Canis lupus familiaris: one gene and its partners. The protein of the gene in region 1 purifies or fractionates together with the protein of each later gene. This does not show direct contact. Links are inferred from orthologs where the notes say so. Each region holds a gene or a part of one and is shown in the gene's direction. Other genes may lie near its edges.

Region 1 (4,001 bases):
TGTTCAATAAATGTTGAGCACTTCCTATGTTTTGAGATCTGATTTTGTCCCCATTAGGAACACAGGAGAGAGCCAGACAAGTTCCTGTCCTAGTAGAGTGGGGGATACAGACAATAAACAGTCTTAGGGTAGGGGTAAGTACCGTGGAGAAAAATAAGGCAGAACAAGAGACAGAGAGTAGTGGGAAAGGTGGGCGAGTGGAGGGGGTGGGGTAGTTCTGTTAGAGAACACTAACAGGTAGGGGTGAAACAGGTGATAGAGATTGGAGCGTGATCGTGATGAGCCGAGTCATGCGCAGGGTGGTCGAATCCCTATGCTGTGCGCGTGAGGTCGACGTGACACTGTTGACTCTGCTGGAGTGAAGATGCAGTGACGTGGCTGGACCGGGACCGTATTATGCTGAGAGGAGGACGATTACGTGGTTCCAGTCCTATGTGGAGTATAAGGAAGCGTGCAATGGTCATGGGGGAAGGGACAGAAAACCAGAGGGAGCCAAAGCCTGAGGGACTTAGCTCTAGGAAACAGACTGGGGGGCGCTGCGGGGGGGGGGGGTAATGGGGTGATGCGGTGAGCACTGGGTATTATCTGCAGCGAATGAATTGCCGAACCCCACATCTGAAACGAATGATGCACTTGCAGGCTGGCTAATCACATTTAAATTAAAAAAAAAAAAAAAAAAAGCACACATCGCGGTGCTGCAGGTGAGGCGTGGGCTCCTCGGGAAGGCGCTGAGCAGAGACCTCCGGGAAGGGGAAGCTGCGGACCGTCGGTGGCCCCCGGGGAGGGCGCGCGGGGTGCGCGGGGGCAGGTGGAGGCGCAGCTGGAGGCGCAGGGCTGCGGTCAGGGGGCTCCGGGGCCCGCTCCGGGTTTGGGAGGTGGCAGGTGGCGGGGTCGCTCGGGGAGCCGCGTGCCCCGCCGGGGCCAGGGCACAGGGTGCTGGAGCCGCCCCGAGTCGACAGCGGCCGGACCGGACCCGACCCGGACCCCCAGGCGGCGCTCGGGCGCCCTGCGCGGGCGGGGAGGGCTCGGCGGCCCGGGGGCGGGGTGTGCCCCGCGCGCACCGCCGAGCCGACTGCCGGCCCCGCTGTCTCCCGCGAGGACTGACAATAAAGTTTTCCGCGTTCCCGTCCGCGGGCTCCCCGCCCCCGCCTCAAGTACCGCGAGACCCGGCGGCGCCGCGAGACCCGGCGGCGCGGCGGCGATGGCGGCGGCGTTTGAAGCGCCCGCGGCGTTAGCGGCGGCGGGGCCGGCGGGGCCGGCGGGGGCGGCGGGGGCGGCGGGGCCGGCGGGGCGCGTGGACCCCCCGCTCGCGGCCTCGGAGGCGGCTCCCGGGCCGGCGCGGAGCCTGCGGACGGCTCACGACGTCGGCGGCCCGCGGGCTCGCACCGGGGACGTGCTGCTGGCCGAGCCGGCCGACTTCGAGTCGCTGCTGCTGTCGCGGCCGGTGCTGGACGGGCTGCGGGCGGCCGGCTTCGAGCGGCCCTCGCCGGTGCAGCTCAAGGCCATCCCGCTGGGGCGCTGCGGGCTCGGTGAGGGCGGAGGAGGCCGGGCCGAGGGCGGCGTTCGGGCGGGAGGTGGCGGCGGCCCCTTCGCAGGGACCGGGAGGTTCGGGGCCGAGGCCCGCCTCCGGACGTGCCCTGAGGCTGTATCCGTGTGTGTGTGTGTGTGTGTGTGTGTGATTGATTGATTGATTGATTTATTATTTATACTTATTTATACTTATTTATACTTATTTATATTTATTTTTATTTATTTTTATTTATTTATATTTATTTATATTTATTTATATTTATTTATTTATATTTATATTTATTTATATTTATTTTTATTTATATTTATTTTTATTTATATTTACTTATATTTCTATTTTATATTTATTTATTTATATTTACTTATATTTATTTATATTTATTTATATTTTTATTTATTTTTATTTATTTTTATTTATATTTATACTTATTTATATTTATTTTTATTTATATTTATACTTATTTATATTTATTTATATTTATTTATATTTACTTATATTTTATTTATTTATATTTATATTTATTTATATTTTTATTTATTTATATTTATTTTTATTTACATTTACTTATATTTATATTTTTTATATTTTATTTATTTATTTATATTTACTTATATTTATTTATTTTTATATTTATCTTATTTCTATTTTTATTTATTTATATTTTTATTTATTTATATTTTTTTTTTATTACTTTATTTATTTTTTTTATATTTTATTATTTTATTTTATATTCTTATTTATTTCTCTTTCTTTTTTTTTTTTTTTTTTTTTTCTTTTTTCTTTCTTCTATTTCCTTCTCTTTTTTTTGTTTCTTTATTTTTATCTTTATTTTATTTTCTTTATATTTATTTATTTATTTATTTAAGAGTTAGCTAAGAACGAAGGTGCCAACCAGGTGATCCCTGGAGACACCTCCGGTTGTGTGATTTCGTGTTGGTATCCAAGCTTCTTTAGTCCCGTGCTACCTTGTGATCTATTTTCTTTTGTTTTTTTTTCCCCCCTCAGATTTAATTGTTCAAGCCAAGTCTGGCACTGGGAAAACCTGTGTGTTCTCTACCATTGCTTTGGACTCTCTCGTCCTCGAAAACCAAAGTACCCAGGTGAGTATGATTTGGAGGACCCAAAGGAGGTCATGTTATGTGGATGTGTGTGTGTGTGTTTAAGATTTTATTTATTCATGAGACACACACAGAGAGGCAGAGACACAGGCAGAGGGAGAAGCAGGCTCCATGCAGGGGGCCTCCTAGGGGCTGCGATCACCAGATGCGAGATGCTCAACAACTGAGCCACCCAGGCGTCCCTGTTATGTGGACTTTATCACGGGGTCGGATGCAATACCAGTAGCTCCCGAGAGACAGATGGATTTGATGAATGCTTGAGTCAAGCAAATGAAAGGTCTAGAAGTTAAGGAGACATTAAAGCTATTGGATGGTGGTGGTGTGGACAGTGACCAGGGTTCCGTCGTTAGTGTTTGGGAATTTCTATCACTGCATCCTTAATGTTTGGGAATTTCTATCACTGCATCTCTAATAGATTATGTCTGCCACGTGTGTCGGTTTTTGCATTACCTGAGAATACAGGTAGGGTTTCTTTATTCTTTTACTTGCTGACCCGATTGTGGTAAGATTTAGTATTTGGCCTGACTGATGAGAAGACAGTGCGCTGGCTATTGCTGCTGGTAACTGCAGGTGATTCTTAGAGCTCTGTGAGTATACCCTATTGGTCTCCCATTTCTAGGTTTTCTTGGAGTAGGTCTAAAGATGGTCTGCCCAAATTAGTAAGAGACTTAGGTTTGGGGATCCTTTCTTTAACAAAGTTTTGTTGAGCCCGTGTTATGTATAAACAGTATGCCAGCATATCCACATTCCTCTATGTCTACCAAATCCTGGGTTGTGCCCATAGGAAGCCCTTTTGCTTCCCAAAGGCCTAAGCTGTTCTACTTGTGAATTTGAGATGTAGTTGAGATTCTGGCTTCTGACAATTTGGCAGTAGGTGAAATGCTAAAATCCCGAATAAGTTCCATAAACCAAATTTGTATTTTTGAACTAAAGATCTTTTGTGTTCTCAGAGTAATACATAGTCATTTTTGAAAGTTGGAGAATTCAGGAAAGCAAAGAAGTACCAGAAAACAACACATAATCTCATGTACCCAGAAACTGCTGTGAATTGTTTTGGCATATTTTCTCCCTAGGTTTTTTTTTTTTTTTTTTCTTCTTCTTGTAGCTGAGAACATGTAGTTTCACCTTGTCCTCCCATAGTTAGTTACCTTAGTCTCAAGGCTCTCTTTCATGGACCTAGATATCTGACCCTGATTTGGTCCAGTGACATGGGCCTCCTTGCTGTTCCTCAGGCACATCAAAAACATTACTGTCATAAGGCCTTTTCATTTGCTGTGTCCTCTTCCTAAAAACAGTTCCCCAGATGTCACACAGCTAGCTCTACTCTGCAGCGTACACTTAGGTCCCTAATG
Region 2 (3,946 bases), on another chromosome or scaffold:
GCATCAAGCTTGATGGGAGACTTGATCCCAGGATCCCGGGATCCCACCCTGAGCCAAAGGCAGATATTCAAACATGAGCCACCCAGGCTCCCCAGAGTTTTTATTTATATTGAGTTTTCAGATCCTTCTAGTATGTTTACGCCTAATTATAACGTACAGGTATGTAACATCTACATCATTATCCGCACAACGAGAGTGCAGACTCGAGTTTTACAGCCTGGGTGGCCCAGCGGTTTAGCGCCGCCTTCAGCCCAGGGCGTGATCCTGGAGACCCGGGATCGAGTCCCGCGTCGGGCTCCCTGCATGGAGCCTGCTTCTCCCTCTGCCTGTGTCTCTGCCTCTCTCTCTGACTCTGTGTCTCTCATGAATAAATAAATAAAAATCTTTAAAAAATAAAAAAAAAGTTTGGGGGCCACTGCTCCAGAGTCCTCTGAGGTCCTTAAAAGGTTGAGTCATTTATTTTTTTAAAAAAGATTTTATTTATTCATGAGGGATACAGGGAGAGAGGCAGCGACCCAGGCAGCGGGAGCAACGGGCTCCCTGCGTAGAGCCCCATGCGGGACTCGATCGCAGGGCCCCGGGATCACACCCCGAGCCACCCGGGCGCCCAGGATAAGCCACTTGAAGGTAACGTAACACTCAGGACGAAAACGCTAACGGTACGGGGACTTTTACATAGGAGTGCCTGGAGAAATTACTTTTCTCACGGCCCTTAACTTGCAGACAACACCAGAGGGTCCTCCTTTGTAGTTGATAAGAACTGGGAAAAAAAAAAAAAAAAAAGTTTTTAGACGATGTTTGCCGGTTTCCCCGCCTAGATGTTCAGGCGACAGCACAGCCCGGCCGCGGGCACCGCTCGGCGCGTAATCCCCAGGGGCCGCCGGGGCCGCGGCGGAGACGAGCAGCCACGGCTCCCGCACTCACCACGCCCCGCCCGGGGACCGACAGACGGCGGCCGGCGGCTCAGACCGCGCCCCGCGGGCTCCGCGCAGACCAGAGCTCCTCCCGGCGTCCGCAGCCGGCGTGGGGCCAGCGTCACGTGCCCAGCGTGCGCCGACCTCGCGCCTGCGCGCTGCCGCACTCTTCGCTCCGCTGCCGGGCAAACGAGCCCTCTTGCCAGATCGTCACTTCCGACGGACGCTGGCGTCATTGGTGTCATCACTTCCTGCCAGTACCGGTGTGGACGGTGCGGGTCGTGGCCGCCGGCTCTGCGGTTCTCCCCCTCCCCTACTCTCCTCCCTCCCTCCCTCTCCCTCCCTTGGCGGCTGTCGGTCGCCGGGCGCAGGCTCCCTGACCCGTCCCCAACCCTTTCCTGACCTCGGTGCTACCCGATTGGCCTCTTTTTCCTGTTTCTCGGCCCAGCCCCAGCCCCCAGTGTCAGGGCGGGGGCCCTGAGCCGGAGGCTCTGCGGCAGACGAAAGAAAGAGCCCAAACGACGACCCTCGACGCCTCCGCCGCATCGCTCGGTTCGCCGCCGCCATGGCAATGAGGCAGACGCCGCTCACCTGCTCGGGCCACACGAGGCCTGTGGTCGATTTGGCCTTCAGTGGCATCACGCCCTATGGCTATTTCTTGATCAGCGCTTGCAAAGGTGAGCGGGGCCCCTGGATGCGGGTCCCTCACGGCTAGGACTGGGCCAGAAGGTAGTGTGGCCGGTCCTCCCCAGTGACAAAGGGGGAATCTCAGTCTTTGAGGTTGGGGCCAGCAGTGGTCTGATGGGGAAAACAGTGTAAGTACTGCCCCCAACTCAGGCCTCTCCTTTCACTTTCCAGAAATTGGCATTTCTGGAGAAGCGGGGCTGTACACTTGCCTAGACACCCCGGCCATCGTATTCTCTAAATAAATCTTTCAAGGATGGGGGGTGGGGGGGTGGAGAAAATATGCCAAGCCAAGTAATACCTTTCCCTATTTTAGAGACTTGTCATTGCTGTTAATTTATTGGACATTCCTTTATGGCATTAGCCCCATTTTTCAATTGGAAACCGAGGTTTAGGTTAAGTTTGTGCAAAATTAGGCCCAACTTTAGATTATTTTGATACGGATCAGCGTTAGTCCCACCGAATTATAAATGCTTCAGGGAGAATGTCTGGCTCAGCGCTTCAGTTTATTTCTGGACTTTTCTTAGTGACCCCAGCGAATAACGATAGTTACACAACAAAAGCCGTTTAACACTTTGGCATTTATCACGGTCACTTTATGTTTGGGTCTTTGATTTTAAGTAATCCGAACTCCTAAGTCACATGTCTTTTTAAATGTGTTTTAGACGGGAAACCTATGCTACGCCAGGGAGATACAGGAGACTGGATTGGAACATTTTTGGGTCATAAGGGTGCTGTTTGGGGCGCGACATTGAATAAGGATGCCACCAAAGCAGCTACAGCAGCTGCAGATTTCACTGCGTAAGTATAGCCAAATTGGCGGGTGTTGGAGATCCCCGTGGATTGTGTTGTGAAGTACTCAAAACTTCAGCTTCAGTTCATAAAATTTTGACTCCGTGCCTGCCATATAGAGCACATGATGTTTGATCTTTTCTAAAAACTCCACTCTGGTTCTTCCTGCTTTTTTCTCTTCAGTGGTTCTCATCAATTTTCAGAGACTTTAAATGACTTATTCTGTATGTCTCAATTGGGAACCAGGAATCTGTATTGTCGATAAGCACTCTAGATAACGAATCTTGGTTGTTGTGCTTAAAAATGCTCAACATGTGCTTCCTGAGTAATACCATTCCTGTGATGCCCTACTGCTGATGGCCCAGATTTTTAGCCCTGTCTCACTCCATTTTTGTTAACTAGCTTTGTACCTATTTAAAACTCAAATACTCTTCATTTTTAAGTTTTTTAAGGCTGAAATTTAAATATTCTTGATTTTTTCCCCTCTATGTCTATGTTGTATACCAACGGAGTGTCTACTATGATGGTTTTTATGCCTCTACCACTATCTTTCTGTCTCTGCATCTTCCCAGCTTCCTAAAAACAAATTTTATCATGTCATTTCTCCAGTGATCTTCCTGTCTTCCCTGTGCAGTTTCAGTGGTTCATGACCTTGAGTGAACCCAAAAATAACCCCAGAAGCTTTAAAATATTCATATGCATGTGTCTGAGAAATTCTGAATTGATCTGGGGATGGAATCCCAACATCAGTGTTTTCCTTTCCTAAAGTTCTTCTGGTTGGTTCTGATGTCAGGCCTTAGAATCACTGGCCTAAAGATTGAATTGCAGTTGTTGCCAGTTTGAAACTTGACTTCATCCTAATTTATCAGCATCGTCTGACACTGCACAGCATATGCCCTACAGTCTGGTTATATTAAACTTACTGTTTGCCAGAATACACCTTACCATTTTGGTTTTTGGCTTTTGCATATGTTAGAGTGACTTGCAATGACCCACTTTCCCCTTCAGGGCACTTTCCTATTTTATATAATCTTGGTATTCTAGTTCCTAATTGTGTTTTATGACTTAACCCTGAGAGGTTTAAACTGATAAAGGCAATGTCAAGAGCTATTGTGCGATAGTAAACCTTGTTAGACTCCAGTCTGGAAAGTCAAAATGGCTTTGTTTTCCTCTCTCCTCTCAGAATTCCAAACGGGAGCAATTGTTAATGTGTTACTTCTTTGTTCTAAGCAAATCAAATATACAAAGTGTCTTATAAAAAATGAAGGTAGATTGATGGTGGTAATGGATTTATGACTATGCATTTGTTGAAACATGTAGATTTCTATATCACAGAATGGATTTTACCATAGGTAAGATTAAAAAATAAGTTCCAATTTTTTTTTAAATAAGGAGAGGGCGATACAGTGCTTACCTGGAATTAAATTTGAGATGATGAGAGATCAACAAGAAAAGTTATAAATGTCAGCCTGAACTTTTTTCTGTGCCTTCAATGAATAGATTTCTATTATGTCTTTCTTCATAACCATTGTAGGGCTTTGCACTGTGCCCTGTTG
Region 3 (3,484 bases), on another chromosome or scaffold:
CTTCTGATGGCCCTGCCCACCACCATCTGCCATGCAGAACTAGAGCGCTTTTTGGAGCACATGTCTGTTGACACTTCTTCAGAGGATGTGGCCTTTTTCCTCAGTGTCTGGTGGGAAATGATGAAGCACAAAGGCAATCAGCAGGATCCTCTGCTCTCCCAGTTTAGAACAATGGCCCATAAGTACTTGTCTTCTTCAGATGAGTTCTCCCATCCTCCAAAGAGGTTTAAGTCAGACCCAGAGGTGTGTCCCACTATGCCCCTGTTGGCCATGCTGCTCACTGGGCTAAAGCAAATCCAAAATAGAATCCTGTGCCCAGGGATGAAATGCTGCGCATTAGCCAACTTAGCAGACATGCTAACAGTATTTGCACTGATGGAGGATGACCCCCAGGAAGTGTCTGCAACTGTGTATCTGGACAAACTGGCCACAGTGATCTCCGTGTGGAATTCGGACACCCAGAACCCGTATTACCAACAGGCACTAGTAGAGAAGGTAAAGGAGGCAGAACGGGACGTCAGCCTGACCTCCCTGGCCAAGCTTCCAAGTGAGACGATTTTCACTGGGTTTGAGTTCATGTGCAGCCTCCTGCGGGAGTGGGGGAAGGAGCTGCAGACCATGCTCAACAGCAGCCAGGGGACAAGTTATGACAGCTACCGGCTGTGTGACAGCCTGACTTCCTTCAGCCAGAACTTGAAGCTCTACCTTGATTCTACCAGCTTGTCTAAGGAGGAGCGGCAGGTGGTCTCAGAGCTAGCAGAGTGTGTCGAAGACTTCCTGAGGAAAACAAACAGGGTGCTGAAGAATAAGGGCTTTGAGAAGGACATCACCGCCTCGATTGCCATGGCCATCATTGAGCAGAAGATGGACCGGCATATGGAAATGTGCTACATTTTTGCTTCTGAGAAGAAGTGGGCCTTCTCAGACCAGTGGCTAGCCTGCCTGGTTAATAACTGGGCTCTCTTCCGAGAGCCAGACTTGGTGTTAAAGCTGCTGGAAACAGTGATGGAAGTTACTGCGACAGACAGAGCCATCCCTGAATCTCAGATCAAACAAGTGATTGGCTTGATCCTGGAATGCTACGCAGACCTCTCGCTGCCAGATAAAAATAAAGTCCTCTCAGGCACCCTGCTTTCCTGGGGGCGGAAGGGTCTCTCTGAGAACCTGTTGGCTTACTTGGACGGGTTTCAGGAGGACCTCAACACAACTTTTAACCAGCTTGCGCAGAGTGCCTCTGAACAGGGCTTAGCTAAAGCGGTGGCTTCTGTGGCCCGCCTGATAATATTGCACCCGGAGATCACAGTGAAGAAAATGTGCAGCATGGCTGTGGTCAACCTTGGCACCCACAAATTCCTGGCTCAGATTCTCTCTGCCTTCCCTGCCCTTAGGTTCACCGAAGAGCAGGATCCAAATGCATCTACTACCTTTGTGGTGTCATGCCTCAAAGAAACTGTTTGGACAAAGTTCTCTACACCTAAGGAAGAAAAGCAATTTTTGGAGCTCCTGGGCTGCCTGGTGAGTCCTGTGAAGCCCCAGGGTATCCCGGTTGCTGCTCTTCTTGAGCCACATGAGGTGCTAAAGGAGTTTGTCCTGCCTTTCTTGATGCTTGATGTCAAAGAGGTAGACCTCAGTTTGAAGATTTTCCTCCAGACTCTTGAAGCAAATGCATGTTTAGAGGAATACTGGCTCCAGACCTGTTCTCCATTCCCCCTCATCTTCAGTTTGTGCCAGCTCCTGGACTGCTTCAGCAAATACTGGCAGCTCCCCAAGGAGAAACGGTGCCTCTTGTTGGATGGGAAGGATCTGGTGGTCCATATCCTGGAGATCCTCTGTGAGATCGTACTGGCTAATGCTGAGACATTTTCCCCAGACACCTGGATCAAGTCCCTGTCTTGGCTCCACCGGAAGTTGGAGCAGCTCGACTGGACAGTGCGCCTGAGGATGAAGAACCTCTTTGAGGGCCACTTCAAATGTGAGGTGCCAGCCACGCTTTTTGAGATCTGCAAGCTTTCTGAGGATGAATGGACTTCCCAGGCCCACCCTGGGTATGGGCCAGGCACAGGGCTTCTTGCCTGGATGGAGTGCTGCTACATTTCCAGCAGCATCTCTGAGCAGATGCTGTCCCTCTTGGTGGTAGATGTGGGTAACCCTGAAGAGGTCAGATTGTTCAGCAAGGGCTTTCTGGTGGCCCTGGTACAAGTCATGCCTTGGTGCAGCTCCCAAGAGTGGCAGTACCTTTACCAGCTGACCAGGAGACTATTGGAGAAACAACTCCTACATGTCCCTTATAGCCTGGAATATATTCAATTTGTTCCTCTGCTCAACCTGAAGCCCTTTGCCCCGGAGCTCCAGCTGTCCGTACTCTTGCTGAGAGTTTTCCAGTTTCTCTGCAGCCAGAGTTGTCGTAACTGGCTTCCTATAGAAGGCTGGAGCCATGTAGTCAGGCTTCTCTGTAACAGTCTGACCAATCTCCTGGACTCCGTTAGGATGATACAGTCAGTTGGCCCTTGGGCTCAAGGACAAGAACAGGACCTGACCCAGGAAACCCTGTTTTTTTATACCCAGGTATTCTGTCACGTTCTGCACATCATGGCCATGCTCCCCCACGAGGTGTGCGAGCCGCTGTATGTCTTGGCCTTGGAAATCCTCACCTGCTATGAAACCCTAAGCAAGGCTAATCCTTCTAGTAGTTCCCTGCTCCAGAAGGTAAATGAGCAGCGCTTCTTAAAGTCCATCGCTGAGAACATTAGCCCTGAGGAACGGCGCCAAACCCTGCTGCAGAAGATCAGCAACTTCTGACTTTTGTAGACCAGGAAACAGCTGGGCCTTGCCTTGGTGGGGGGCTCTAAGGGCTCGAGCTGAGAAACACAAGCTTTTCGGTGATGTGAAATTGTACACAAGCTAAAAGTATATGGCAGTAACTGTAAAGAAAATAGTTTCTTAGGTTGTAACATACAAATTATTAAATTCACTTTTGATTTTGATCGGGTCTCTAAGTCTCGTCAGTAGTCTAGGCTTAGATGTGCTCTGCAGTTGGGCACAGCTAGGGTCTTAAAGATCAAGGCAAGCTGGGAGGGACATTTTCATAACTGGACTTATCCACCCTAGAATTTGGCAAAGAAGTCCAAAGGTGAAACCACCCAAGTGGAAAAATTGCTAGGTATGTGTTGTTTTGCTCTGAAACCCTCTTTCAATAGTCATTTTGTGGGGTCTTGGAAAGGGCAGCAAGGAAAATAACTTGTCACTGGTTAGCCGTGTGACTTTTGAACCCAAAAAGCCTGCAGCACTGTAAAAGGAAAGCATTGGACCAAGAAAATTAAATAGACTAATAACCCCAAGAAAATGAGTGTGTTCTAAATTGAGGACTTTTGCCATATAGTCAACTCCATTCAGTGGATCCAGGAGGGGCTGTGAAAACTAAGTCTGGTAAACACAGCAGAGATGGATCTAAAGGACGGGTGTAATTATCTTCTGCCTGGGGTGG
Region 4 (3,133 bases), on another chromosome or scaffold:
TCCAAAACAGAAGTTTTATGAATAGTAATTATCTTTCCTACGGGCAGTGTATACTAGTATTTTACTTTTTTTTTTTTTTTTTTTTAATGTGTTGGTTCCAACCCATCAAATTGAAGATGGGTTCCATAGTTGGATCATGACCTGAAAATTGAAGACAGTGGTCTGTTTGCCATACGTGTAATGTTCCAGATGCCTGATCAGTTGCCTGTCCTGGTTAGAATGTCTGCTCTCCAAGCAGCCTTTCTCCTTTTTCACCAGCACTGCGAAAAGTCATTTCCTTATATGGAACTCGGGCCTGCCTCACTGAAGCTTTCTTCTGGTTAGTGTGGTGCAGAAGGGTGCACGAGAGGGCCAAGTTCTGGAGTCAGCCGGCAGTCCTGTTCCATTTCTGCACCTTCGTTGCCAAGTCCCTGTGGATAAGCGACTGTCTTTGTTTTCTCATCTGAAGAAGGAGTCTTTTGTTTCCTCTTAGAGTTGTTCAGTCAGTTATTTGATGACAGTACATAGACTTTTATATTCTGGGTGCTATACCACATGCTGGTTACAACGAGCAGAGCCAGATGTAGTCCGACTTTGACAGTGCGTCACAGGCTGCCGGGAGAGGCAGGCATTGCTCAACTCACACAGATGTAGGAAATGTGAAGCTCCCCCTTAAAGGTTCAGGAAGGAAATGTATGTGGGCTGTGAGTATATAGTGGAGAACAGCTTAATCTGGTAGGTCAGGGAAGGCTTCCTGAAGAAGTGATGTATGGGCTGACACATAAAGGATGAACAAGTTCACTCCACAGGAAGGTAAGATTCTAGAGAAAAAGATGAATGATCCCCCAAACTAGGACGGAAAAGAGCTTGAGAATAGCCCAGAATGTAAAGAACCAGGGGCTCCTGGTTTGAAAGGTGAGCATTGGGAAACCATTGGAGGTTTTGAGGCAGATCACATTTTCAGTTAGAAAGTTTATTGGGGGGATCTCTGGGCGGCTCAGCAGTTGGGCGCCTGCCTTTGGCCCAGGGCGTGATCCTGCAGTCCCGGGATCAAGTCCCACATCAGGCTCCCTGCATGGAGCCTGCTTCTCCCTCTGCCTGTGTCTCTGCCTCTCTGTCTCTCTCTTTCTCTCTGTGTCTCTCATGAATAAATTAATAAAATCTTAAAAAAAGAAAGTTTATTGGCTTGGCGTGCCTTGGTGGCACAGTCAGGAGTCAGCCTTCGGCTCAGGTCATGATCTCTGTGTCCTGGAGTTGAGCTCCCTGCTCAGTGGGGAGTCTTCTTGTCCCCATCTTTAGCCCCTCCACACACTCCCACCCCTCATGCTGGCTCTGTCTCAAAGTCTTAAAGAAAAAAAAAGGTCAGTGGCTTTGGTTGGTGGGAGAAGACACCTGAGGGGAAAGGGTTTGGCCGCTCGGTGGTACCTAGCAGTTAGGGATCTGCGCTTTGGAGTGCAAGTTCAAGTGTGAACTTGCAGGTGTTTCCCATTGGGCACTTGGTGACGGTCTTCATGTGTCTTTGAAGCAAGGTTGTCCTGTTAAAAGTGCACCTCGCAGAGGTGGTTGCAGTCCTTTCCTTTGCTGTTTGGTGCCCCTCCTTTCCCTTCCCTAAGCCAGCTACCCAGACTGACCCTCTCTCGCCTGCCCCCACCCCAGGAGGTGGCCTAGGCGGGACCAGAAGAGGCGGGGCTGACGTGAACATCCGGCATTCAGGCCGGGACGATACTTCCCGCTACGATGAGAGGTAAGATTAGGCAGCTGGTTTCCTGGGCTCGGGGTGGTCACATGGGGAACCCTGCCGCAAACCTCTGCCCACCTCATCCAGGCCCGGCCCCTCCCCGCTTCCCCACAGGGACCGGGACCGGGACCGTGAGCGGGAGCGCAGGGAACGAAGCCGCGAGCGAGACAAGGAGCGAGAACGGCGACGCTCCCGCTCTCGGGACCGGCGGCGGCGCTCACGGAGTCGCGACAAGGAGGAGCGGAGGCGCTCCAGGGAGCGGAGTAAGGACAAGGACCGGGAGCGGAAGCGGCGAAGTAGCCGGAGCCGAGAACGGGCACGACGGGAGCGCGAGCGCAAGGAGGAGCTACGTGGTGGCGGCGGCGGTGGCGGTGACATGGCGGAGCCCTCTGAGGCCGGTGATGCGCCCCCTGACGATGGGCCTCCTGGGGAGCTGGGTCCTGATGGCCCTGATGGTCCAGAGGAGAAGGGTCGGGATCGTGACCGGGAACGACGTCGGAGCCACCGGAGCGAGCGAGAGCGGCGTCGGGACCGCGATCGAGACCGGGATCGCGAGCACAAGCGGGGGGAGCGGGGTGGTGAACGGGGCAGGGATGAGGCCCGAGGTGGGGGTGGTGGTGGCCAGGACAACGGGCTGGAGGGTCTGGGCAACGAAAGCCGAGACATGTACATGGAGTCTGAGGGAGGTGATGGGTATCTTGCTCCGGAGAACGGGTATTTGATGGAGGCTGCACCAGAGTGAAGAGGGCCTCCCCCACTGTTTTATTTGGACGTGTTCCTACCCACCCATTTACTGTCATCCTCTCCCCCAATCTTCTTGGCCACCACCTAAGTTTGCCAGCCAAGGGTAGGAGTCTCCCTTATTTGTTCTGGCCCCTTGGATTTAAAAATAAAATTAATTTCCTGTTGATAATGAGCACCTTGGTTTCTTTTTCACTGCTCTTTGCCTTCCCCAGAAGGTCATCACCTGACTGTTGATAGTTCTACTTTGGTTGTGTCCTGGGCCTGCTGAGAACTTGGGCTTTGTGACCTAAGTCTGGGGCTACCTGGACTATACCAGACCTTAAAATGGAATAAGGAGGTGCTCTAAGGGTTCCTTCTGTTAGGGTTCTTTATCCTTTTGTGATTTTTTTTAAACATCTTCCATACATTCCCTGGGGCGCCATCCCTACTCAGGTCTCGGTGGCTGGATAGGGCTCTAGACACTCGATTGGTGGAAGCTGCAAGTTTGTTTGAAAGGGAAACTGAGTTGTAGAGTGGGGAAAGGGCTGAGGAGATGAAGTAGGAGCACAGGCTGCAGAACATCTGCAGGAAGGGCAAAGGGCCTGCGATTCATGATAGGAAGTTGACCATGAGTATCTTCATACTTGGCTAGTGACAGTGGAGGATTAACAAGAAATAGGAGAGGTTCTGTCA
Region 5 (4,162 bases), on another chromosome or scaffold:
CCGGAATCGAATCCCACGTCGGGCTCCCGGTGCATGGAGCCTGCTTCTCCCTCTGCCTGTGTCTGCCTCTCTCTCTCTCTCTCTGTGACTATCATAAATAAATAAAAATAAAAAAAATCAGTAACATTTTTAACCAAATAACCTTCTAGTTTGCAGTCAAGTAGTGTGTTTCTGAATCTCCCAATTGTTTACTTACAGTTCATAAGCACAAATTCCTTTAGGTCTTAACCCAGGAACTGTCCTCACTTTATCTTCAAATGAGAAAGTTACATTCTGGTTTTGAAATCAATTACTTGCAAGCTAAAGGCAGTGCTTTAAAAAAAAAAAAAGCTTTAAAAATAAACATAATCTTAGGAAATAAAAGTCAATTATATTTACTCAGAGCTTCTTTAGAAAGAATCAGATATAACCTTCATTGTTCCTTGGAATGTCGCCCAGCACAAGTTACTTAATCCATTTCTGACATGTTTCCTCACCTGTAAAATGGAGATAATAGTACCTACCTCACAAGATTGGCCCTAAGATTAATCATGGTAACTTTTGGGTATTGGCATTAGCTTTATCCTTTCACTACTCATTTAAACAAAGAGATCTCTCAAGAAAAAGGAGGAGGAGGAGGAAGAAGAGGAAGAAGAGGAAGAAGAAGAAGAAGAAGAAGAAGAAGAAGAAGAAGAAGAAGAAGAAGAAGAAGAAGAAGAAAGCGATGTCTACTCAACGACTAATATTCATTTCCAGCAAATACAAAGGGATCTTTCAAGTAGCCAAGCGCAAGAAATTTCTCTGGAAAATTAATATTTCATTCATTTGGCATCAGATAAATCTGGGTTGGAAATGGCTCTTCTACCCTCTGTCTCACTGTGGGAGTGAAAGTCACAGTTGTAGTACTTAACCCTTCTTTATATCGATTTGCTCCCCTACAGAACCAGGATAATACCACTTACTTCAAAGAGTTGGTGTAAAAACTAAACGAGGAAACATACGTGATATGTCTACCAGGGGTTTAAGAGCTCAACTAAATGAAGTGGATTTCTTGTAGACAATTAAAAATATAGAGAGAGAGAGCTCAATAAATGGTAATTACAATAACACTGTTCATTAATTCAAAAGATATCCAAGGATCCCTTACTACTGCAGATGCATAAAGCTTAATAATCCTCAGTGTTTACCCTGGCCTTAGGAGAGAGAACAGAGGGAAACACGCAGAAACACTTCAGGACCACTTCTGCAAGGAACTAAACTTCACCGTCTCCTTACACCACCCGAGCCTTAAGTCTGGGACAACCGGCCGGCTTCCTCAAGCGCAATTACACTGCCTAAGCTCCGCCCCCTTAGACTCCGCACTTAAGGTCTGCGCCTGCGCCGTGACCTGCACTTGGCGCATGCGCCAAAGGGGGACTGGCGGGATTAAAAACCATGGCGTGGATGCCAGCAGAATCCGCAGTGGAAGAGTTGATGCCCAGGCTGTTGCCAGTGGAACCGTGCGACTTGACAGAGAGTTTTGATCCCTCCGTCCCACCGAGGACGCCTCAGGAATACCTGAGGCGGGTCCAGTGAGTGATTTGGCCCCGTGCGGGTGGGCTGGTCGTCCGCTCTGCCCCCGGGCACAGCTCGACCCCTACCTACGTGTGATAAAGCCCCGCCTCAGTGGCCGTTCCCTCTTTCACGCGAGGTAGGGTCGAATCAAGATCACTTGATGACATCTTTACCTGGGCGAGTTTTTATGAATGTAATTCTGTTTACCTGTGTCAAGATGTGTGCTTTTGGATTTCCTTGCTTTCCAGTTAGTTTCGGAAATAACCTTGTGTAGTACGTGCATTGCGCTTCCTTTTTTTTTTTTTTTTTTTCTGATTTCGTGAAGAACTGTAGAATGGATCGCTCGTTTTACTGCACAGGAACAAAGCACAGCCGTAATCACATTTCTTGCATTTATTACTTATTTGTAGGATCGAAGCAGCTCAATGTCCAGATGTTGTGGTAGCTCAGATTGACCCAAAGAAGTTGAAAAGGAAGCAAAGTGTGAATGTTTCTGTGAGTTTTATGACCCAGCAGGGGATTCTCCCCTTCCTCCCCCTCTCCCCTCGACCAAATGGAAAGCTCAGTGGCCTTCCTGTGGTATCCTGTAGTATCTTTATGATTTATGTAAGATTGGACTACTTCCTGAGACATTGAACATTAGCTTGGACTTTTAACCCTCAAAAGGACAGTTGGCATTTACTGCCCCCAGAGCAGTTTCCAGTAACCCTGGCATTCGTGGAGACTCCTCATACTTCAGGGCTGTGATCCAATTCTAAAGGACTCTAAATAGGTTACTTACGTTATTCTTTATTTTTAAGGAACCTTTTTCCAGTCTTGTTCATAATTATTCTTGGATTGGTGTTTAATGCTATTTAGTGCAATATTGCATGTTCTGAATTTGGGCTTTGTTTTTTTAAGAATAGAAACTCAGGTGTCTTACATTTTTCTAGTTACTTGCACACACACCTTGAATATTTTTTGTGAAGTGACTAGGTTGTGCCAGGCCCTGGGATTACAATAGAAAATGAGGCACAAAAATCCCTACCCTGGCAGAGTTTACATTCTCCTGAGGAATACAGAGTAAACAAGCAAACAAAGTAATTATATATTATGACTTTTTTTTTTTTGAGATTTTATTCATTTATTCATGAGAGACACAGAGAAGAGAGGTAGAGACGCAGGCAGAGGGAGAAGCTGGCTCCTTACAGGGAGCCAGATGTAGGACTCGATCCCAGGACCCCAGGATCAAGACCTGAATGAAAGGCAGACACTCAACCACTGAGCCACCTAGGCACATCTATATTGACTTGATATGAAGAAAATTAACCTGTATATGACCAATAAGTAACAAGGTTACTTGTTTACAATTGTACTGTTGACAATTAAAATTGTCACAGAAAGTCTCTCTAAGGACATATTATTTAACCTAGGGTCAAAGGAGAGCAGCAGTTTTTAAATTGTGATAGGTCCTTTTCCTCTTATGAAATTTTAATTCAGATGCTATAATGTTTCACATATTTTCAGAAATTTTTAGTTGATGGATGAGAATATCTTATCTACCTAGCTTTTAAAAAACACACTATTATTTCAAGGCAATATGTATTTCAAGGCAGTATTTTGACCTATTGTGCTGTCTTAGGAAGCTGAAGTAGCCTTTGTAAAGTCAAATGTCTTAGATTATTTGAGTACATTCTGCCAATACCAAATTCTTTATGTGGGTTATGTCTCCTCATTTCAAATAATTGTCTTCTTATAGAAAGGTAGGACTAAATTATGTCTTCAGGGCTCATATAATTTAGATTTCTTAGTTTAGAAACTCCAAATATGAACCATTCCAGATTGCTCTTATTGAAGTGACCCCACAAGGATCTTTTCCTAATGTTCAAACTTGGACATAAATAGTAAAGTGAAAGGCCTACTTTTTGGCATCTGCAGAGTACAGTATCTTTCTTAGATAGCCTTAATCATTTACTTTATTACTCTTCATCTTGGTTGTGCTTTTACTTTGCAGAGGAATGACGTTCTAGTTATAACACTAACATCGATTCTAATATTTATGAACTGATCTCTAGCTTTCAGGATGCCAACCTGCTCCTGAAGGATATTCTCCCACACTTCAGTGGCAACAACAACAAGTGGCACAGTTTTCATCTGTTCGACAGGTGAGCGTACTTTAATCATTTTATCAAATTAAACCCCTTCCATTAGAAAGACAGTTCTAATTTTACTCATATGGAATATAAGAAACAGTGCAGAGGATCATAGGGGAAGGGAGGGAAAACTGATTGGGAAGTAATCAGAAAGGGAAACAAGCCATGAGAGATTCTTAACTATAGGAAACAAACGGAGGGTTGCTGAAGGGGAGGGGGAGGATGAGGTAATAGGGTGGTGGGCTTTAAACAGGGCCTATGATGTGATGAGCACTGGGTATTGTATGCAGCTAATGAATTCCTGAACTCTACATCTGAAACTAATGATGTAATATATGTTGACTAATTGAATTTTAAATAAAAATTAAACCCCTCTCTCCCTCAAGAATTATTTCTGTTCTTAGACTGTAGTTGGAAAAATAAGATTCATTATACTTTTTTTTAGATTTATTTATTTGAGAGAGCGAAAGTGCATGCAAGCAGGCAGGCATATGAGT
Region 6 (3,235 bases), on another chromosome or scaffold:
CTTTTTACCACATCACATTAAATCCCCTCCTCTTGACCTTGGTATTAAAGATGAGAGGTAAGACCCAGATGACAAAAGAATTTTATTTATAGGATAACAGTTAAAAGTTATGTGATGCAAGGCATATGACTTATGCTTTTTTTTTTATTATTACTAGTAAAGAAGAAAAAAATCAGCCACTTTCTCTGCCTGAATTAACCAAAAGGCTTACAGAGGCAAATGAGAGAATAGCTAAATTTCCTGAGAGTATTAAGGTAAGATTTATAGCAGTTCATTTGGTAAAACATGGTTTTTTATATTATCAATTTACTAAACCAAATTCTTTAAGGTTATCTGATTCTCTGTACTGTTTCGGAAATCTCTACACATCTGGATATGCTTAAAAATTTAGGATCCCGTGGTCTTTGGTTAACTAAAATGGGAGAACTGGATTATTGACAACACAATTTTATACCTCATTCTTCAGAGAAATGAAACAAATTTTGGAATTGGGAGGTAAAATAAAATTAAAATTGGTACTTGACAGGATGAGCACTGAGTGTCCTACTGTATGTTGGCAAATCGAACTTCAATAAAAAAAAGTTGGTACCATGTATTTGATAGTTACAGATGGATGAGTGTATTTGAATGTGGCACTGCTAGTAAAAGGAGAATCATGTTTTGAATTGAGTGGGGCTCTAGAAAAAGATTCTTTCATTTGAAGAGGATATCCCAGTATCCATCTGTTCTGAGTATTCCCTATCCTTAGAGTAACTGATGAAAAGCCCTGAAGGAGAAATTGCTAAGTTGTGCTGAGAAGTATCACTAAATGAGACTTGAAGGCGCTGGTGCCTCTCTCTATGCAGGTCTATGTGGCTCATTTGCAAATGCTTCCTTATTCATCCCTGTGTCATCTTTCAGACCTGGCCCTTCCCAGATGTGCTGGAGTGCTGTCTTATCCTGCTTCACATTGGGTCCCAGTGTCCTGGCAGCGTGACCCAGGACATGCAGCAACAGGCCCAAGAGCTCCTTCAGAAATATGGCAACACTAAAGTTTACAAAAGATACTGCCAGACCTTCTGCACATGAATTTTCAAGGAACTTTAAGAAAACTGTGCCAAATTCAGAACATATGACACCTTTCACCTCTGCAGTTACACCATGCCAGACATTCACTTTGATCCCTGGGTGTTTTTGCAGTGATCCAAATAACACAAATGGGGGTCAAGTTTGAATTGACTCTACCCTTAGACATAGTGAAATTGGACTTTGGACTCAGTTGTGGTTTCCTACTGGAGGAAGGATCATGAAAAGCCAGCAGTAGGTATTCAGAACACCTGCAGTGTGATTGTTGGTCATCTCTAAAGCCTTATGCAGGTTTCACCCAAAGAGGAGAAACTTTTTAATTACCCAAAGTATTATGTTCTCAAACACAAACTACCTTTAAAAATACTTAGCCTAATGGTAAACATGTCATTCTTGTTGGAGACAGAATTGCTCCATTTTATGACTTGGTATTATTTTTCTTATATTTGTTAATTTGGGTTCTCCCCCTTCTATTCTTTCAAAGACTTCACTTAGAATGTGAAATAGGCCTTTACCCATCATGTTGACTCTACCATCCATCTGAACTTTAGGTCAAAAACTTGGTTTTATTGTTTCATGTAATTGCTTATTTGAACAAATCATTTACTAAAGTGTTAGAAGAACAAATAACTGAAATTCAGATGTGTCTTATCCCTTCAGTTTTGTAAAATGTAATGGTGATTGAACAGCTCAGAAAGAAATTACTGTTTCAGTGGTTCTTAATCTTTTTTGGATCACAGGACCCTTTGAGAATTAAAACCACAGATGTTCTTTGAAGAAAAATGGGTAATTTTGCATATATAACTTTTGGATCATTTGACTCCAACTTCAGCATAATGGGATCCTACATACTATTTAATTATAAAACCTGTTCGTTCCCCCTCTCCTCCCATTATTGAGCATTCTCTTGAGGTCTTTTCTTTTCTCTGGTTAAATAGTTGAACAGTGTCAGGAACAGATGTTTCTGTAATATCCCAGTTGCTGGAATGTAAAAATCAGAAATAGTCTGGGGTAGGGTTCGGAGGGAGCACTCTTTACCAATAATGTAACTATTTTCTTTTGGAATTCATTGTGAAAGCTTTTCTGCTTGAGTGTCCAGTTTACTTTTCAGTTATTTCCTAAGTTGAGATGGTTGTGGACAACAAGAATAAAATTCACTAGCAGGAACTCTAGGAAGGAGAAAGTTTTAAGAGACCGTTATGTAAAGATCTGACTGACCAGGAGTTTTGTTTGTTTAATTAGACCTAGCTTTAAGATTTAAAAATGCTAAACCCAAAAAAGGAAATACTGTAGAATTTAGATCCTCCTAATTCTTTAGTTACTTGAGCTTGAGGAAGAAGATGCAGGTTACCAGAGATGGAGAATCTTGGTTGCAAAAAATTATACATAGACATGACTATGTGGAGGACTAGATACCAGTTCTACAGTCCTTGCTGAAATGAACACACACTTCACTTGCAGAGACAAAAAAATATTTATTCCCTATCATTTAATTAAAGAACAGTATTATTAAACTAGACATTCTAAACTCCTTTGTGATTTACCAGAACCATCATCTGTGCTTAGAGGAATCCTGCAGTCCTCGATTACTGCTTTGGTAAGAACAAGCGTTACTACTTGACAGCGACAGCTAATCAATAAAACTACCCAGAAGGTAACAGGTGACACAATTCCACTTCAAACAACCTCTTCTCTTTCCCATACTAGATAATTTCTATCTCCCTAATTATCAGAACCACAGAGAGCCAAAGCACTGAGGAGTTGACTCATGCTTAGTAGTTCTCACTAAGCAACTGAAGAAGTAGTGTTGGTCCTTTACCCAATCCAAACCACCATCTTGTTATCCAGATGACTGCTCTCACCTCCCACTGTCTCTATCTGCTCTTATTACTGATTCTCCATTCTTCATTTACCAATGCAAGTCTAAATTACAAACCAAATCTTGTCAATTTCCTGTTAAAAATTATTTCAGTACTGTCCCATTGTTAGTGGAAAAAAGATCATCTTGCAGGGCACAGGAGGCCCTGCCTGATCCTACCTTTTACCCCTTGGCCTCCTGTTTTTAGACTCTCATCCTTGCTTCTAGATTCCACCCACACTGGTCTCTTCGGCTGTCGGAACTACCAAGTTTTCAGTGGTTTTGCCCATGTTGTTCTTTTGCCTGGTCCAT
Region 7 (4,162 bases), on another chromosome or scaffold:
CTCTCTGGAGGAAACCATGGTTTTCTGGCATTTATTTAGGGATGTTCTTGAGACTTGCAAAGCCTGCTTAGGATGCTAAGCTCCTTGCAGGCAGGGCTCTTGGTCTTTGCATCACCCTGGCAGGAGGAACACTCAGGTCCTCGCACCCAGTACGCAGGTAGCACACGTTTATAGGATGAAGGAAAGCGCAGGCGGGTAGGTTACATCGGCGACCAGCGAGTGTGGACTTCGTGTCACCTTGAGACTTGTAACCCCCATCAACGAGGAGAGGGAGGGGGTAACCGCGGCCGGAGCCGGGGCCCGGGTGGGGGCGAGGGACGGCCTCCGTGAGCACGGCGGGGAGCACGGGGCGGGGTCCCAGAGGCAAAGGGCGCGCGCCCGCCCTCCCGGCGGCTTGGCTTGGACCTCACGCAGCTAACACGCGCCCCAAACTCACTGTTCAAGTTTTTTTTTCCATGACGCTCTGGGCTCCCGGCCGGGAGGTGGCGGTGTGGTCGTGCGCAGGCCCCGCGCCTTCAAGTTCAAGCTCCGGGCTGGGCGCGAGCTTCCCCACGGTCGCCTTTCGGTAGTAACTTGAAAAACCAGGCAGGCGGGGAGGCCGGGGCCGGGGCCGGGGCCGGGGCCGGGGCGGGGACGGCCACAGCAGCCGGGCCGCTGGGGGGCGGGGGGGCGCGGGGGGGGGGGGCGCCGTGCGCCGCCCCCCCAGCCGGAGCGGGCGCCCCATGCGAGGAGGCGGCGCGGACACCAGGGGGGGCTTCTGCTCTTTTCTTCCCGGCCTCCGGCGGCGATGCCCCGCGGGCCCCGCTCCGCCCAGGAGGGGAAGACGGCGCCCCCGGAGCCGCTGGGAGGGGCCCCGCCCCGCCCCCGCGCCCCGCCCCCGCGGTGGGGCCCCGCGCCCTCGCCCCCGCCCCCACCTCCACCTCCCCGCGGGGCCCGCGCCCGCCCCCCCGCCGGGCTCCCGGCCGCCCGCGCGCCGCCCCGCCCCCTCCTCCCCCTCTCCGTTCTCCCCTTCCTCCTCCCCCTCCTTCCCCTCTTCCCTCCCTCCCTCTCCTTCGCCCCGCCCTCCTCCCCCTCCCCTCCCCTTCGCCCCGCCCTCCCCTCCCTCCTCCCTCCTCCCCTCCTCCCCCCCTCCCCTCTCCTTCGCCCCTCCCTCCCCTCCCTCCCCTCCCTCCTCCCCTCCCTCTCTCGCTCGCCCCTCCCTCCCTCCCTCCCTCCCTCCCCCCCCGCCCGCCGCCTCCGCCCGCCGCCCCGGCCGCGTCGGGTAAACCTGTTTGGCGAGGCGGCCGCGCCGGGGCGGATCGTGCGGCCGGCGGCTCCCTCGCGGCTCGCGGCGTCGGGGCCCGTGGCGCGCGCGCGGCCGCCCCTCGGCCCCGGAGCCCCTCGGCGGCGCCACCATGTACTCGGGAGCCGGCCCCGGTGAGTCCTCGCGGGGGGCGCCGGCCCGGCCGCTCGCGCTCGGCCCCGCGGCGGCGGTTGGCGGGCGGGGGCGCGGGGCGGGGGCGCGGGGCGGGGGCGCGGGGCGCGCGGGCCTCGGGGGGCGCGGGGGGCGCGGGCGAGGCCGGGGCGCGGGGCCTGCGGGGCGGGCGGCGGCGGGGCCCCGGGCGGGGGGGCGGTCGTTCCTCGGCCCAGCGCGGGCGCGCAGCCCGGCCTCCCTCCGCGGCCCGGGTCGTCGGGGCGCCCCGCGCGGCCTGGGCCTTGGCGCCCCCCGCGCCCCGCGCCCCGCGCCCCGGGGGCCCCGCGGGTGGAGCCGGAGGCCGGGGCCGGGGCCGGGGCCGCGCGGCCCGCGTGTAGGCCCGAGGCCCGCGCCCGCCTCGCCCGCCGCCCGGCCCGGCCCGGCCTCCCGCGCCCCCGGCCTGCCCGCCGCGCCCCGGGGGTCGGCGGGGACGGCGGGGACGGCGGGGACTGCGGGGCGCCGGGGCGGGGGCGGGGCGGGGGTCGCGCCGGGTCGCGCCGAGCTCGGGGTGCGGGCGGCGGGGGCCGGGGACGCGCGGCTGCGGAGCCAGCCCGAGCCCGGCGAGCCTGGGGCGCACTCAGTTTCGTTTTTCTCGTTGCCAGCACTTCTGCGGCCCCTTCTCTGAAGGAAAGTCTGGAAAGGCTGAATTGTGGCCAATTCCCGCGGGTGGCGAGGACTGTAGCCCGAGAGGGACGGGAAGCGGCACCTTAAAACCCTAAGACTGCGTGCGTCTCATTTTCATTCCAGACACGCCGGCTGCTTATTCAAGTGTTAATTGCCTTTTACAATTTACTAGAAGCGGGCGAGGAGGAGTGTCGGTTCCCTTAGCACCCCTCCTCGCCCGGCCGCTCTCTTTCTTTGCAAAAGTTCTAAAAAACTTAAAGGAGTAACACGTTTCCCCCCCTTGTTTTCGACGCACCGTGGAAGGGCAGCCGGGGTGCTGGGCCAAGAAAACAGTCAAGTGTTGTAAAGCTTTTTTCCTTCTCCCGCCAGGCACGTGGCTCCTAAATTTCCCGGCTGGGCCTGCCACTTGGCCGGGGCATCGCCTGTCCCCTTTGTCTGCCAGGCCCCGGCCGCTGCAGGCTTGCTCGGTCCCCTCGCTAGGTGTGCTGATGGGGCCCTGGCGGCTCCCGCCCAGACGTGCTCCCCAGCGGGGGTCTGGAAGCCCCCCCTCCATCCACTCAGGCCCCTTGTTGCCGTGGGCCCTGGCTGCTGTGTCTGTCCACCAACACTTCTATGCCTTGTGAATTCTGAGTGTCTTTTTTTTCCCCCCTGATGTCACTTAATCTAAAAGCTTGTCCAAGGCCGAGTTCCATCAACTTTTAAGCCTCTCCAGACTCTGGGCAGCTTGATTGAGGAATGGTTTTAATCCTGCATCTGGGAGGTTCCTCAGGCCTGGTGGGGAAGGGCCCTGGGCTATGTGGGCACCGTCCCGAGGGCAGATTTGGCTTCTTGAGACCCTGGGCAGGCAGGTCTTGGGCACCCCCCACCCCCCCTTACCTAGCCAAGCAAGGGGGGATCTCCCAGGAATCCCTGTAAAGGGATCCCAGCGAGTCTTAGCCACTACAGTGTGGATTTATTTATTTATTTATTTATTTATTTATTTATTTATTTATTTATTTTCAGATTTTCAGTTTAAAAGTTGAGGGCCCAGAAAAAGTAGAGAACCTTGAGGAAGGTCAGGCTTTGTGTTGTGTGTCCAGTTAACCCACAGGATGGCTCGGCAAATTGGTGATGTTCGTTTTGAAGGTAGACGGCAGAGGCTCACGTAGGTTAAGAACGTTGCCAAGGTCATGTGGCTGGTGAGCATTAGGATGATATGTCTGATCCCAAGCTGACTGTACACCCTCCTCAAAGAGGTGGTTTTCGCTCCTTTTGACCTTGACCCACACTAAGAAATACCTGTTACATCTCGACTGGACCGGTGTGCGCATGCGCTCGCTCAGGTGTGATCGAAACAAGAGCTTGGCGAAGCTCTGCTTACCCTGAACTGTGCGCCGGGGGGTATTTTTCTCGCATTTCTGTTTTCAAAAACCTGTAGCCCCCCCTGGATCTCCGGGCTCCTTTCTGGTCACCAACAGCTTTTGGAAGGATCTGGCTCTGCTGCGATTCTCTGCATTGTGGCGTGGTGGGGAGAGGGCCCCGTGGTTCGCAGATAAACCTGCCCTGGAATTGGACAGCTTTGGTTGAAAAATAAATGGGTCTGTAGGATAGTTCTTAAGCTAATGGCAGGATGGGAATGAACCCAAATTTCAGGCTCTGTGAGTGTGCTGTAATTATAAGGCTGTGTGCAGTTCAGTTTTATTCTATCCACCGAGGCTTTTAATTTGGCTTAAAAGGAGCTTTTGGAGTAGTTTCTTGAATGAAACTTTTTTTAATGTTATATTTCCTATTTTAGAAGAATGAAAAGATGCTCGGTCTGGATTGTAGAAAAATTACAAATCGTTTTGCTCCTTCCGATTTTAATACACTTATTAAGCGACGTACTGAGTAAATTGACTTAAAAGGTAGAGTTCGCAGTAGCTATGTGTTAGGCCCACGATAAACGCTTTCCACGTGTGAATTAGCGTTTGTGCTCTGAGGTTCGGTACGTCGCTACTTCTTACTATTCTAACTATTCGAGAGAGTTTGGTGGTTCCAGGTAGTGGGTTCTCCAGCGACCCGGAGCCTTCAGAGATGAACAGATTAGTTTGTTGTTGGGGTTGAATG

What was found.
Region 2: the proteins of DDX20 (region 1) and STRAP purify together in Homo sapiens (affinity purification with mass spectrometry; 3 studies listed by BioGRID and IntAct, counting the BioPlex papers as one, with this or other methods). This does not show direct contact. The link is inferred for Canis lupus familiaris from reciprocal best matches to the Homo sapiens genes DDX20 and STRAP.
Region 3: the proteins of DDX20 (region 1) and GEMIN4 purify together in Homo sapiens (co-immunoprecipitation; 7 studies listed by BioGRID and IntAct, counting the BioPlex papers as one, with this or other methods). This does not show direct contact. The link is inferred for Canis lupus familiaris from reciprocal best matches to the Homo sapiens genes DDX20 and GEMIN4.
Region 4: the proteins of DDX20 (region 1) and SNRNP70 purify together in Homo sapiens (affinity purification with mass spectrometry; 4 studies listed by BioGRID and IntAct, counting the BioPlex papers as one, with this or other methods). This does not show direct contact. The link is inferred for Canis lupus familiaris from reciprocal best matches to the Homo sapiens genes DDX20 and SNRNP70.
Region 5: the proteins of DDX20 (region 1) and GEMIN2 purify together in Homo sapiens (affinity purification with mass spectrometry; 6 studies listed by BioGRID and IntAct, counting the BioPlex papers as one, with this or other methods). This does not show direct contact. The link is inferred for Canis lupus familiaris from reciprocal best matches to the Homo sapiens genes DDX20 and GEMIN2.
Region 6: the proteins of DDX20 (region 1) and GEMIN5 purify together in Homo sapiens (affinity purification with western blotting; 6 studies listed by BioGRID and IntAct, counting the BioPlex papers as one, with this or other methods). This does not show direct contact. The link is inferred for Canis lupus familiaris from reciprocal best matches to the Homo sapiens genes DDX20 and GEMIN5.
Region 7: the proteins of DDX20 (region 1) and AGO2 purify together in Homo sapiens (affinity purification with western blotting; 3 studies listed by BioGRID). This does not show direct contact. The link is inferred for Canis lupus familiaris from reciprocal best matches to the Homo sapiens genes DDX20 and AGO2.

What each region holds. Positions count from the first base shown.
Region 1 is NC_049238.1:64,448,322-64,452,322, reverse strand, and holds the start of DDX20 (probable ATP-dependent RNA helicase DDX20), read left to right. Parts: upstream 1-1,201; coding exon 1,202-1,249; intron 1,250-1,321; coding exon 1,322-1,529; intron 1,530-2,536; coding exon 2,537-2,631; intron 2,632-4,001.
Region 2 is NC_049248.1:15,351,553-15,355,498, forward strand, and holds the start of STRAP (serine-threonine kinase receptor-associated protein), read left to right. Parts: upstream 1-1,146; 5' UTR 1,147-1,479; coding exon 1,480-1,591; intron 1,592-2,263; coding exon 2,264-2,399; intron 2,400-3,946. UniProt on the Homo sapiens protein: The SMN complex catalyzes the assembly of small nuclear ribonucleoproteins (snRNPs), the building blocks of the spliceosome, and thereby plays an important role in the splicing of cellular pre-mRNAs.
Region 3 is NC_049230.1:45,012,478-45,015,961, forward strand, and holds the end of GEMIN4 (gem-associated protein 4), read left to right. Parts: coding exon 1-2,799; 3' UTR 2,800-2,984; downstream 2,985-3,484. UniProt on the Homo sapiens protein: The SMN complex catalyzes the assembly of small nuclear ribonucleoproteins (snRNPs), the building blocks of the spliceosome, and thereby plays an important role in the splicing of cellular pre-mRNAs.
Region 4 is NC_049222.1:108,014,585-108,017,717, reverse strand, and holds the end of SNRNP70 (U1 small nuclear ribonucleoprotein 70 kDa), read left to right. Parts: intron 1-1,635; coding exon 1,636-1,723; intron 1,724-1,804; coding exon 1,805-2,459; 3' UTR 2,460-2,633; downstream 2,634-3,133. UniProt on the Homo sapiens protein: Component of the spliceosomal U1 snRNP, which is essential for recognition of the pre-mRNA 5' splice-site and the subsequent assembly of the spliceosome. SNRNP70 binds to the loop I region of U1-snRNA.
Region 5 is NC_049229.1:17,472,640-17,476,801, forward strand, and holds the start of GEMIN2 (gem-associated protein 2), read left to right. Parts: upstream 1-1,362; 5' UTR 1,363-1,413; coding exon 1,414-1,550; intron 1,551-1,943; coding exon 1,944-2,028; intron 2,029-3,587; coding exon 3,588-3,677; intron 3,678-4,162. UniProt on the Homo sapiens protein: The SMN complex catalyzes the assembly of small nuclear ribonucleoproteins (snRNPs), the building blocks of the spliceosome, and thereby plays an important role in the splicing of cellular pre-mRNAs.
Region 6 is NC_049225.1:55,799,058-55,802,292, forward strand, and holds the end of GEMIN5 (gem-associated protein 5), read left to right. Parts: intron 1-157; coding exon 158-254; intron 255-900; coding exon 901-1,068; 3' UTR 1,069-2,735; downstream 2,736-3,235. UniProt on the Homo sapiens protein: The SMN complex catalyzes the assembly of small nuclear ribonucleoproteins (snRNPs), the building blocks of the spliceosome, and thereby plays an important role in the splicing of cellular pre-mRNAs.
Region 7 is NC_049234.1:35,893,113-35,897,274, reverse strand, and holds the start of AGO2 (protein argonaute-2), read left to right. Parts: upstream 1-1,362; 5' UTR 1,363-1,394; coding exon 1,395-1,416; intron 1,417-4,162.